Saccharomyces cerevisiae S288C: one gene and its partners. The protein of the gene in region 2 purifies or fractionates together with the protein of the main gene of each other region. This does not show direct contact. Each region holds a gene or a part of one and is shown on either strand. Other genes may lie near its edges. The genes, in order: FBA1, TDH1 and GPM1.

Evidence for each region.
Region 1: the proteins of TDH1 (region 2) and FBA1 purify together in Saccharomyces cerevisiae (affinity purification with mass spectrometry; 2 studies listed by BioGRID, with this or other methods). This does not show direct contact.
Region 3: the proteins of TDH1 (region 2) and GPM1 purify together in Saccharomyces cerevisiae (affinity purification with mass spectrometry; 2 studies listed by BioGRID, with this or other methods). This does not show direct contact.

The regions. Positions count from the first base shown.
Region 1 is NC_001143.9:325,748-329,258, forward strand, and holds FBA1 (fructose-bisphosphate aldolase FBA1), read right to left. Parts: upstream 1,741-3,511; coding exon 661-1,740; downstream 1-660. Other genes in the region: BLI1 (Bli1p), read left to right, coding at 24-365; cleavage polyadenylation factor subunit MPE1, read right to left, coding at 2,371-3,511. UniProt on the Saccharomyces cerevisiae protein: Catalyzes the aldol condensation of dihydroxyacetone phosphate (DHAP or glycerone-phosphate) with glyceraldehyde 3-phosphate (G3P) to form fructose 1,6-bisphosphate (FBP) in gluconeogenesis and the reverse reaction in glycolysis.
Region 2 is NC_001142.9:336,430-339,929, reverse strand, and holds TDH1 (glyceraldehyde-3-phosphate dehydrogenase (phosphorylating) TDH1), read right to left. Parts: upstream 1,660-3,500; coding exon 661-1,659; downstream 1-660. Other genes in the region: IRC8 (Irc8p), read right to left, coding at 1-143; YJL052C-A (uncharacterized protein), read left to right, coding at 1,927-2,046; retromer subunit PEP8, read right to left, coding at 2,893-3,500. UniProt on the Saccharomyces cerevisiae protein: Glyceraldehyde-3-phosphate dehydrogenase (GAPDH) involved in glycolysis and gluconeogenesis. Catalyzes the reaction of glyceraldehyde-3-phosphate to 1,3 bis-phosphoglycerate.
Region 3 is NC_001143.9:163,093-166,129, forward strand, and holds GPM1 (phosphoglycerate mutase GPM1), read right to left. Parts: upstream 1,294-3,037; coding exon 550-1,293; downstream 1-549. Other genes in the region: NNR2 (NADHX dehydratase), read right to left, coding at 1,825-2,838. UniProt on the Saccharomyces cerevisiae protein: Interconversion of 3- and 2-phosphoglycerate with 2,3-bisphosphoglycerate as the primer of the reaction. Can also catalyze the reaction of EC 5.4.2.4 (synthase), but with a reduced activity.

The DNA of each region.
Region 1 (3,511 bases), on a different chromosome or scaffold from region 2:
TCCATCAGGTATATTAAATTGTGATGGGAGAACAAAACAAATTGTACTATGATGTCGAGAAATTGGTGAATTCTTTGCAGGAAAGTTTTGACCTGGATTGCGCGCAAAGTGTATCACTTTTCACCAGTAAATCAAGGAGCAATGAGGCTTGGTTGGAAGAGCTAGAGAATAAATTCAAGTTAAAAGATGATGTTGAACTTGATGATGTGGAAAATTTAAGAGCCGAAATTGACATGAAGTTAAATATGTTGGAGGATAAAGTAAGCTACTATGAAAGACTTTACAAAGAACTCGAAGAGTTCCAGAATGAAATAAAAATTAAAACAGTTGTGAATAACAGAAGACAATCGCGAACTCCAAAATGAGCTATCAAAAACGATAGATCGATTAGGATGACTTTGAAATGACTCCGCAGTGGACTGGCCGTTAATTTCAAGCGTGAGTAAAATAGTGCATGACAAAAGATGAGCTAGGCTTTTGTAAAAATATCTTACGTTGTAAAATTTTAGAAATCATTATTTCCTTCATATCATTTTGTCATTGACCTTCAGAAGAAAAGAGCCGACCAATAATATAAATAAATAAATAAAAATAATATTCCATTATTTCTAAACAGATTCAATACTCATTAAAAAACTATATCAATTAATTTGAATTAACTTATAAAGTGTTAGTGGTACGGAAAGTTTCCAAAGACTTGGTGATCTTAGCACCCATGGTCTTTTCACCTTCTCTAACCCAGACTCTTGGGTCGAAGAACTTCTTGTTTGGCTTTTCTGGACCTTCTGGGTTACCGACTGGGGACATTATGTAGTCCTTCTTGTTCAAGACGTAGTCTCTGATACCAGTCAAGTAAGCGTATTGACAGTCAGTGTCCAAGTTGACCTTGACAACACCGTTGTCAATACCAGTGTGGAATTCTTGGACAGTAGAACCGGAACCACCGTGGAAGACCAAGAACAATGGCTTTTCTTCCTTGCAACCAACTTGTTCTCTGGTGTACTTTTGGTGTTCAGCCAAGATTTCTGGTCTCAAAGCGATGTCACCAGCGTACAAACCGTGACAGTTACCGAAAGCAGCAGCAATGGAGAAGTTTGGAGAGATTGGGTGCAAAGCCTTGTAGACGTTGTAAACTTGTTCTGGCTTGGTGTACAAGTCTTCCTTGTCAGCGTTTTCGTTGTTAACACCATCTTCTTCACCACCGGTAATACCGATTTCCATTTCTAACCATTGGTCCATAGCGGCCATTCTCTTGAAGTACTTGACACAAGTAGAGATGTTTTCTTCATCGGTTTCTTCAGACAAATCCAACATGTGGGAGGAGAATAATGGTTCACCGTGTTCCTTGAAGTAAGCTTCATCAGCTTCCAACATACCATCGAACCATGGCAACAACTTCTTGGCACAGTGGTCAGAGTGTAAGACAACTGGGATACCGTAAGCTGGAGCAATGGATCTGATGTAGTGGGCAGCGGCAATAGCACCCTTGATGGAAGCATTTTGACCTTCGTTAGAGATACCCTTACCAGCGAAGTAAGCAGCACCACCGTTAGAGGTTTGCAAAATGATTGGGGACTTGCTGTCTCTAGCAGCTTCTAAAGCAGCGACGGCAGTAGAAGAAGAGGTGACGTTAATAGCTGGAATAGCGAACTTGTGTTCCTTAGCGTAAGTGAATAAGTTGTGGACATCTTCACCAACGATGACACCGGTCTTTCTCTTTAAGATTTGTTCAACACCCATTTTGAATATGTATTACTTGGTTATGGTTATATATGACAAAAGAAAAAGAAGAACAGAAGAATAACGCAAGGAAGAACAATAACTGAAATTGATAGAGAAGTATTATGTCTTTGTCTTTTTATAATAAATCAAGTGCAGAAATCCGTTAGACAACATGAGGGATAAAATTTAACGTGGGCGAAGAAGAAGGAAAAAAGTTTTTGTGAGGGCGTAATTGAAGCGATCTGTTGATTGTAGATTTTTTTTTTTTGAGGAGTCAAAGTCAGAAGAGAACAGACAAATGGTATTAACCATCCAATACTTTTTTGGAGCAACGCTAAGCTCATGCTTTTCCATTGGTTACGTGCTCAGTTGTTAGATATGGAAAGAGAGGATGCTCACGGCAGCGTGACTCCAATTGAGCCCGAAAGAGAGGATGCCACGTTTTCCCGACGGCTGCTAGAATGGAAAAAGGAAAAATAGAAGAATCCCATTCCTATCATTATTTACGTAATGACCCACACATTTTTGAGATTTTCAACTATTACGTATTACGATAATCCTGCTGTCATTATCATTATTATCTATATCGACGTATGCAACGTATGTGAAGCCAAGTAGGCAATTATTTAGTACTGTCAGTATTGTTATTCATTTCTTAGGGCTTGCGTCAGCTTGATGAGGATTTGTGATAGTAGCCGTTGGAGGCATGAAGGGCATTGGAAACATGGGGAAAGGAGGTATACCGAAAGGTAACGGTACTGGTGGCACTGGCGTACCGCCGTTATTTACAGAAGTTGGAAGGCTGGTATTGTTGTTCAAGCCAGCGGTGCCAGTTGGATCCATCAACTTCATTTTCTTAGTTTCTGGCTGGTTGCCATCTTTAGAGCTTCCGTGTAGTTCCTCTTGTTTCTTCAAAAACGTTTCGACCTCCTTTTCCTTGTCCTGGTCGGGTACTAAAGAATCGAGAAGGATATCGCGGGTTTCGCAATTGGGGCATACAAAGTCGCTCTCTACCAGTGCATTTTCCAGCGCCTCTTTTGAGAAATCTATGTTACAGCACTTGCTTGTCTTTACCGGCTGCCTCAAAAGACCACCTGTCAAGGGACATTTTAAATCGTCAGGAAGATCTTTGAAATGGCCTTTTCTCCAAATGGTTTCATCACCATCAATTTGACGGTTCTCTCTTTTCCTTTGGTAGTCTTCCCATGATTGTTTGTCTTCAACTTGTACCACGAACTTGCCTTCGTCCGTAATCATAATCTTTCGCTGAGCCATCTCTTCCGGTGTCATTGTCTCGGGATCTATTTCAATGGATTTTAAAAACTTCTTTGGAATACCTGTGGTTCTTCTGATTCTTTTTCCTTCAAAATTTGGATCGCTGTTAGTTGGACAATTTTTAATCCAGTGGTCTCTACCCCCACAACGATAGCACATATAACCTGGTGGCGGTGGGCCTTCGTTTTCTTGTGCAGAATTCTTATTCGTCTGTGACTTGAAAAAAACAGGTGTGGCTGCAGACATTTCTTCTTGCGTTTGTTCCCATTGATTTTCTTGTGTGGCAAACATACTAGCAATTCTTTCTTCTTCCGTTGTACCACTAACATTAGCAGTGGTTGTAGCAGTGTGTTGTCTCTTTTGCAACACTCTTGGCCTACCAGTAACATACCTTGTTGCGTTCCCAAGAGCTGCTGCTCCCACATTCCCTTTAAGTCGACTGTGTACGGAGAATGATTTAATTGCTGGAGATCTTTTTACTATGACACTAGTAGATCTAGGTATAACAAAGGCA
Region 2 (3,500 bases):
ACTATCAGTACCGCTTCGTGGTCGTGGAACTTGCATAGCAATGCGATAGCAATGGCACCTGTGGCAATTGAGAGAAGAGCACTTCCGAACTTGATCCCCAAAAAACCAGCCTTATTTCCGCTCCTAACAGAATTATGGCACATAAGAGAGTATGATTCCTTTCTTAGTATATATATACTGCTCAAGGGCAAATGCAATTACTTTGGAAATGCTTTCTTGTTCTGATACGTAAGAAGACAAGTAATCTCTGGACTAAAAGTGGAGCCGGAATAGAGACTCTCTTAGTATCAGTATCCACCTCTTCAAAGGATAATGCGTTCTTTGCCAATAGTCACATATTGTGGGTATGTGCGTTTTGCAAAGGCAGCAATATATTGTTTACTTATTTCCCAAAAAGGAAAAATCTTTAAACCATCCTAGAACTTCAATTCACCACGTTCAGGGTAATATATTTTAACCGCCGACGTTCTCGCCATAACTTTTAAACAGTGATAACTAGTATTGAAACTTAGAAGAGAAAAGGGTAAAGTTAATGCTTAATCTTGTCTTGGCTTAAAAAGTAATATGTACTTATTTACGTCTTCACAAAATCTAGCAGAAAAACGGTAGTATTTATGTATATTCAAAAAAAAATCATTATCCTCATCAAGATTGCTTTATTTAAGCCTTGGCAACATATTCGATCAAGTCAACAACTCTGGCGGAGTAACCGTATTCGTTATCGTACCAGGAAATCAACTTGACGAACTTTGGAGACAATTGGATACCAGCGGAGGCATCGAAGATGGAAGCGTGAGTGTCACCCAAGAAATCAGAGGAGACAACGGCATCTTCGGTGTAACCCAAAACACCCTTCATTGGACCTTCAGCGGCAGCCTTAACAGCCTTCTTGATTTGGTCGTAAGTAGCTTCCTTTTCCAACTTGACAGTCAAGTCAACAACGGAAACATCGACGGTTGGGACTCTGAAAGCCATACCGGTCAACTTACCTTGCAATTCTGGCAAGACCTTACCGACAGCCTTAGCAGCACCGGTAGAGGATGGGATAATGTTACCGGAAGCGGTTCTACCACCTCTCCAGTCCTTGTGGGATGGACCATCAACAGTCTTTTGAGTGGCGGTCATGGAGTGAACAGTGGTCATCAAACCTTCTTCAATACCGAAAGCATCGTTGATAACCTTGGCCAATGGAGCCAAACAGTTGGTGGTACAAGAAGCGTTGGAGACAATCTTCTTGTCTGGAGTGTATTTAGTGTGGTTAACACCAACAACAAACATTGGAGCAGAAGAAGATGGAGCAGTGATGACAACCTTCTTGGCACCAGCGTCAATGTGCTTTTGAGCGGTGTCCAATTCCTTGAAAACACCAGTGGAGTCAACAGCGACATCGATCTTTAGAGAACCCCATGGCAAGTTAGCTGGGTCTCTTTCTTGGTAGGTAGCGATCTTGACACCATCAATGATGATGTGCTTGTCGTCATGGGAAACAGTACCCTTGTATCTACCATGAGTAGAATCGTACTTGACCATGTAAGCAGCATAATCGTTAGAGATAAATGGATCGTTGACAGCAACAACCTCAATGTCTTTTCTTTGCAAAGCCAATCTCAAGACCAATCTACCGATTCTACCGAAACCGTTAATAGCAATTCTGATCATTTTGTTTTGTGTGTAAATTTAGTGAAGTACTGTTTTTTGTGTGTGTTGGTGAAATATCAAACCAAGTTCTTGATGAATTTCTTATTTATGCAAGAGAGAGAATAGAACTGTACTACAAATCTCATTGTGTGAAAATATATTGTCTATTTATATGATTTCGAGACTCCAGTTTTGGTCATTATCACCAAGCTCTTACTGCTACAGAGAATGAACATGCTCCTCCCCCCCTTCTTCAGACTATGTTGTTCTGCACGTGGATACCGTCGCATGCACCTAAGAAGCAGATGGTGGCTTGCCTTACTGTATTGTAAAGATCCAGTCTCCAGATCTGCGACCACTCCGAAGGTTGAAACCCGAGCTTCCTGTTTGCTGTCTCGCGCCTTTTAAAAAAAAAGCGCGATTATGGGCCGCTCGTGACAGTAAAGGAAGCAAGCAGATCGACCCCCTGAAAATGTGGTGTGGTTACTAAGCAGAAGCGTCTTCGTCGCATATCCTATTCCTAGCGCAACAAGGCCCCACGGTGTGGTTTCATGTGACGTGGAGTCATGTAGGCTTGTGGTGCGCACATTTTTACTAAGCTCAACAACCCTACTGGCGCTGCTGGAAGTGAATGGCGAGTAGATACTATCAAGTGTTGGCTGGTGGGACATATCAGCAACTAATGGATAGAATAAATTGGATCAGAAGCTCAGCCCAACTTATCCTCCATATGGTGATATAGAGTGTAAATGAGCATATACATTCGTTTCTTTTTCTCCTCCCATTAGTCTGGCCCTTTAGCATACAAGTCAACTGTAGTTTTCAGAAGCGGGCTTTTCTTGGTTTTTGTTATGTTACCTGTGAGAAACTAATCCATCGAGAAATTTACTCATTTTTTTTTTTACTCCAAGCTGCTTTTACTTAGCTAAACATAAAAAAAGATATTTCTTATGCATTAACTTGAAGAAAAATTGTTCCCTTGGACAACGCTGTGCTTTTCCGAAGCACTGTAAAAGGGAAGAAAACCATATGCTATTCCTCCTTTCGTAGAGAAAAAAAGTTTTAGCACTTGAGCTTCTTACTATATCGTATTTTACCTCTTGCTTGTTTAGTTCGTTATAACTTACGCAAAAGTCTTCTACTGAAATCTAGATATTGTTATGTATAACACTATAATGCCAAACGAAAAGTTAAATATCGAGATGTTGAAAGAACAGAGAACCACATCTTCACCTTATTTAAGGTCGAGCTTTTCTACCGGGTCCTGTACAATGTTATTTCTGATTGTTTAAAATATCTTCTGCCATCTTCATCGATAATAACCAAGCTCAAATAATTCTTGACGTTAAAGTAGTTGCAGCTCATATTGGGCGTCAGGTCATAGCCGCTCAAGAATAATCTTATGGGTATGGTTTCACCTTTCACTGAAGACCCATCCATTATTTCGTATCGGATAGCAGTGGAATCTGTCATTACATTAGAAGTTTGTAGGCCGGAAGATTCTCTTGTGATCAAGCTTAATTCCATATGTTTTATCCTTAGTCTCGTTAAAAGGAAATATATACGCCCCACAATGACTTCTTTTAAGCTGTACTGGGATTTGGCATATTCAAACTCAATGTGAAGGCAATTTTCTATACCTATATCCAATCTAACAGGCTTGGGCTCATTATTTGAATGTGATATCGGCAAAACTTGATTAACGTCTGCCGCCTCACCCTGGGTGCTCTTTGTTTGCGTGTTGTCACTCGCATTATCTGCAGCATAGTTACCACCAGCGATGTCATTAGTGGTTGCCTTTGTCTCATTTGCGGAAAGGGTATTTGGCGCAGTAGTTACACTATTATAAAGATAGACCCAAA
Region 3 (3,037 bases), on a different chromosome or scaffold from region 2:
TATTCTGTATACATAATATAACAGCCTTTATCAACATTGGAATCCCAACAATTATCTCAAAATTCACCAACCTCTCATGGCGCATATTCATCATGCATGTAACTACCACATCAATGTTCAATCATGGACTTTTAACTAATCTTAAGTACTATTCGAACTGCCCATTCAGCTTTTCCCTTTGCAATTGGTGCACTCCTACTTGAACGAATTCGCGGGGTGTACATTAAACTACGATGTAAACATCAAGGTTATTGCTATAACATGTCATGTCACCATTAATTACCACTCATTCCAACATACTGTCCCTGACGAAAACTGTTTATGCGAGCGCAAAATGAACCTATTCAATTAATAATACTCCTCAAATTGCTACCACGACAGGCTGAAAAAAGATGTCGACGAATAATGTAATCGTGTCAAACAAACGTTATCTTGACTATATATAGCTACTTAATTTGAAATAATAAACTATACAAGTCTATATCATTGATATATTCAGTAAGAAAAATGGAGGGAAAAAGAAATCATCAAATCATTCATTCTTCAGACTTATTTCTTACCTTGGTTGGCAACAGCAGCGGCACCAGCAGCGGCAGCTTCTGGGTCCAAGTAGTAAGATGGCTTAGATGGCTTCAAGTTTTCGTCCAATTCGAAGACCAATGGAATACCAGTTGGGATGTTCAACTTAGCAATGTCAGCATCAGAGATACCTTCCAAGTGCTTAACCAAACCTCTCAAGGAGTTACCGTGAGCGGCGATCATGACGGTCTTACCACTCAACAAGTCCTTGGCAATGACATCTTGCCAGTATGGCAACAATCTGTCAATGACCAAAGCCAAAGATTCAGTTTCTGGCAAGACATTTGGGTCAACGTACTTGTATCTTTCATCACCCTTTTGAGAGAATGGAGAAGAAGCGTCGATTGGGGGAGGTGGAACATCGAAGGATCTTCTGTAGGTGTTGAATTTTTCTTCACCGAACTTCTTCAAAGTTTCAGCCTTGTCCTTACCTTGTAAGTCACCGTAATGTCTTTCGTTCAATCTCCAGGATCTGTTGACTGGAATCCATAATCTGTCAGCCTTTTCCAAAGCAATGTTAGCAGTTTGGATAGCTCTGGACAACTTGGAAGTGTACAAGACGTCTGGGTAGACCTTCTTTTCCTTCAACAATTCACCGGCTCTAGCGGCTTCTTGTTGACCCTTGGCAGACAATTTAACATCAACCCAACCGGTGAATAAGTTCTTTTCGTTCCATTCGGATTGACCGTGTCTAACTAAAACTAACTTTGGCATTATTGTAATATGTGTGTTTGTTTGGATTATTAAGAAGAATAATTACAAAAAAAATTACAAAGGAAGGTAATTACAACAGAATTAAGAAAGGACAAGAAGGAGGAAGAGAATCAGTTCATTATTTCTTCTTTGTTATATAACAAACCCAAGTAGCGATTTGGCCATACATTAAAAGTTGAGAACCACCCTCCCTGGCAACAGCCACAACTCGTTACCATTGTTCATCACGATCATGAAACTCGCTGTCAGCTGAAATTTCACCTCAGTGGATCTCTCTTTTTATTCTTCATCGTTCCACTAACCTTTTTCCATCAGCTGGCAGGGAACGGAAAGTGGAATCCCATTTAGCGAGCTTCCTCTTTTCTTCAAGAAAAGACGAAGCTTGTGTGTGGGTGCGCGCGCTAGTATCTTTCCACATTAAGAAATATACCATAAAGGTTACTTAGACATCACTATGGCTATATATATATATATATATATATATATATATATATGTAACTTAGCACCATCGCGCGTGCATCACTGCATGTGTTAACCGAAAAGTTTGGCGAACACTTCACCGACACGGTCATTTAGATCTGTCGTCTGCATTGCACGTCCCTTAGCCTTAAATCCTAGGCGGGAGCATTCTCGTGTAATTGTGCAGCCTGCGTAGCAACTCAACATAGCGTAGTCTACCCAGTTTTTCAAGGGTTTATCGTTAGAAGATTCTCCCTTTTCTTCCTGCTCACAAATCTTAAAGTCATACATTGCACGACTAAATGCAAGCATGCATGATATAGCTCCTGTCAAAGTATCACCTTGGCCTCCTACCCTCTTGTTGCTGCCCTCTTCGCTGTTCGTCAACATGTCTTTTTCACTATCGGGTGAGAATATCTTATCTGACTGACCTTTCTCCACCACAATACAATTCAATTCCTGGGCGATCAAGCTGCCCATCTCGGAGTGAGAGTCTCCCTTCTTGCCTATGGCATCACATAGTCTTTTGAATTCTACCACATTGGGCGTCAAGATCACTCTACCTTTGGGGTAGCTTTTCAGCATTTCTTTGACTTCGCTATCTTGAGTTACTAAGAACAGTCCATCAGCATCAATTACTAACGGGATCTTGCCCTCATGTTTTTCAAGTATATATCTTATGATATCCTTAATGGATTTTAACATTAGGGGGTCCCTACCCAAGCCGGGTCCAATTACCACAACGTGGATTCTATCCAATAAGGAATTGATTTTCTTCCTTTGTTCGTCCATATCAACGTCTAATTTGGTGTTACTCATACGAAGGTATGGATGAACCATTAGGTTTGGGGTGTACGATTTAATGACCGTACCAGCGTTGTATTCGCAGATGACATGTGTCAAATCACAGCCCATCAAGGCTGTAGCATTGGCGCTGAAATACGGTGCCCCTGTATAATCTTCGCATCCTCCAATAATGCAAACTCTCCCACCAGACTGTCCCTTATGAAACTTTGGCAATAAAGGTGGTATACATCTTTTCTGCGCCAACTTTATCAATTCTCTATGAGACAATTCTGCTAACATTTCCAGTGATACGGTAGTGATCGTATTGAACTGGTGTTGCTAATAAAATTTCACCGACGCCTATATACCTATTTACACCTTTACATATATATCTACTAGATCACGTTGCAAGACCCATCACATCGCATCACATCACATCACTCCCTATTCTGCCCTTTACAGCGCAAAGGAGTCGTGTGTGGGTGTGTGCTCCTTTTGA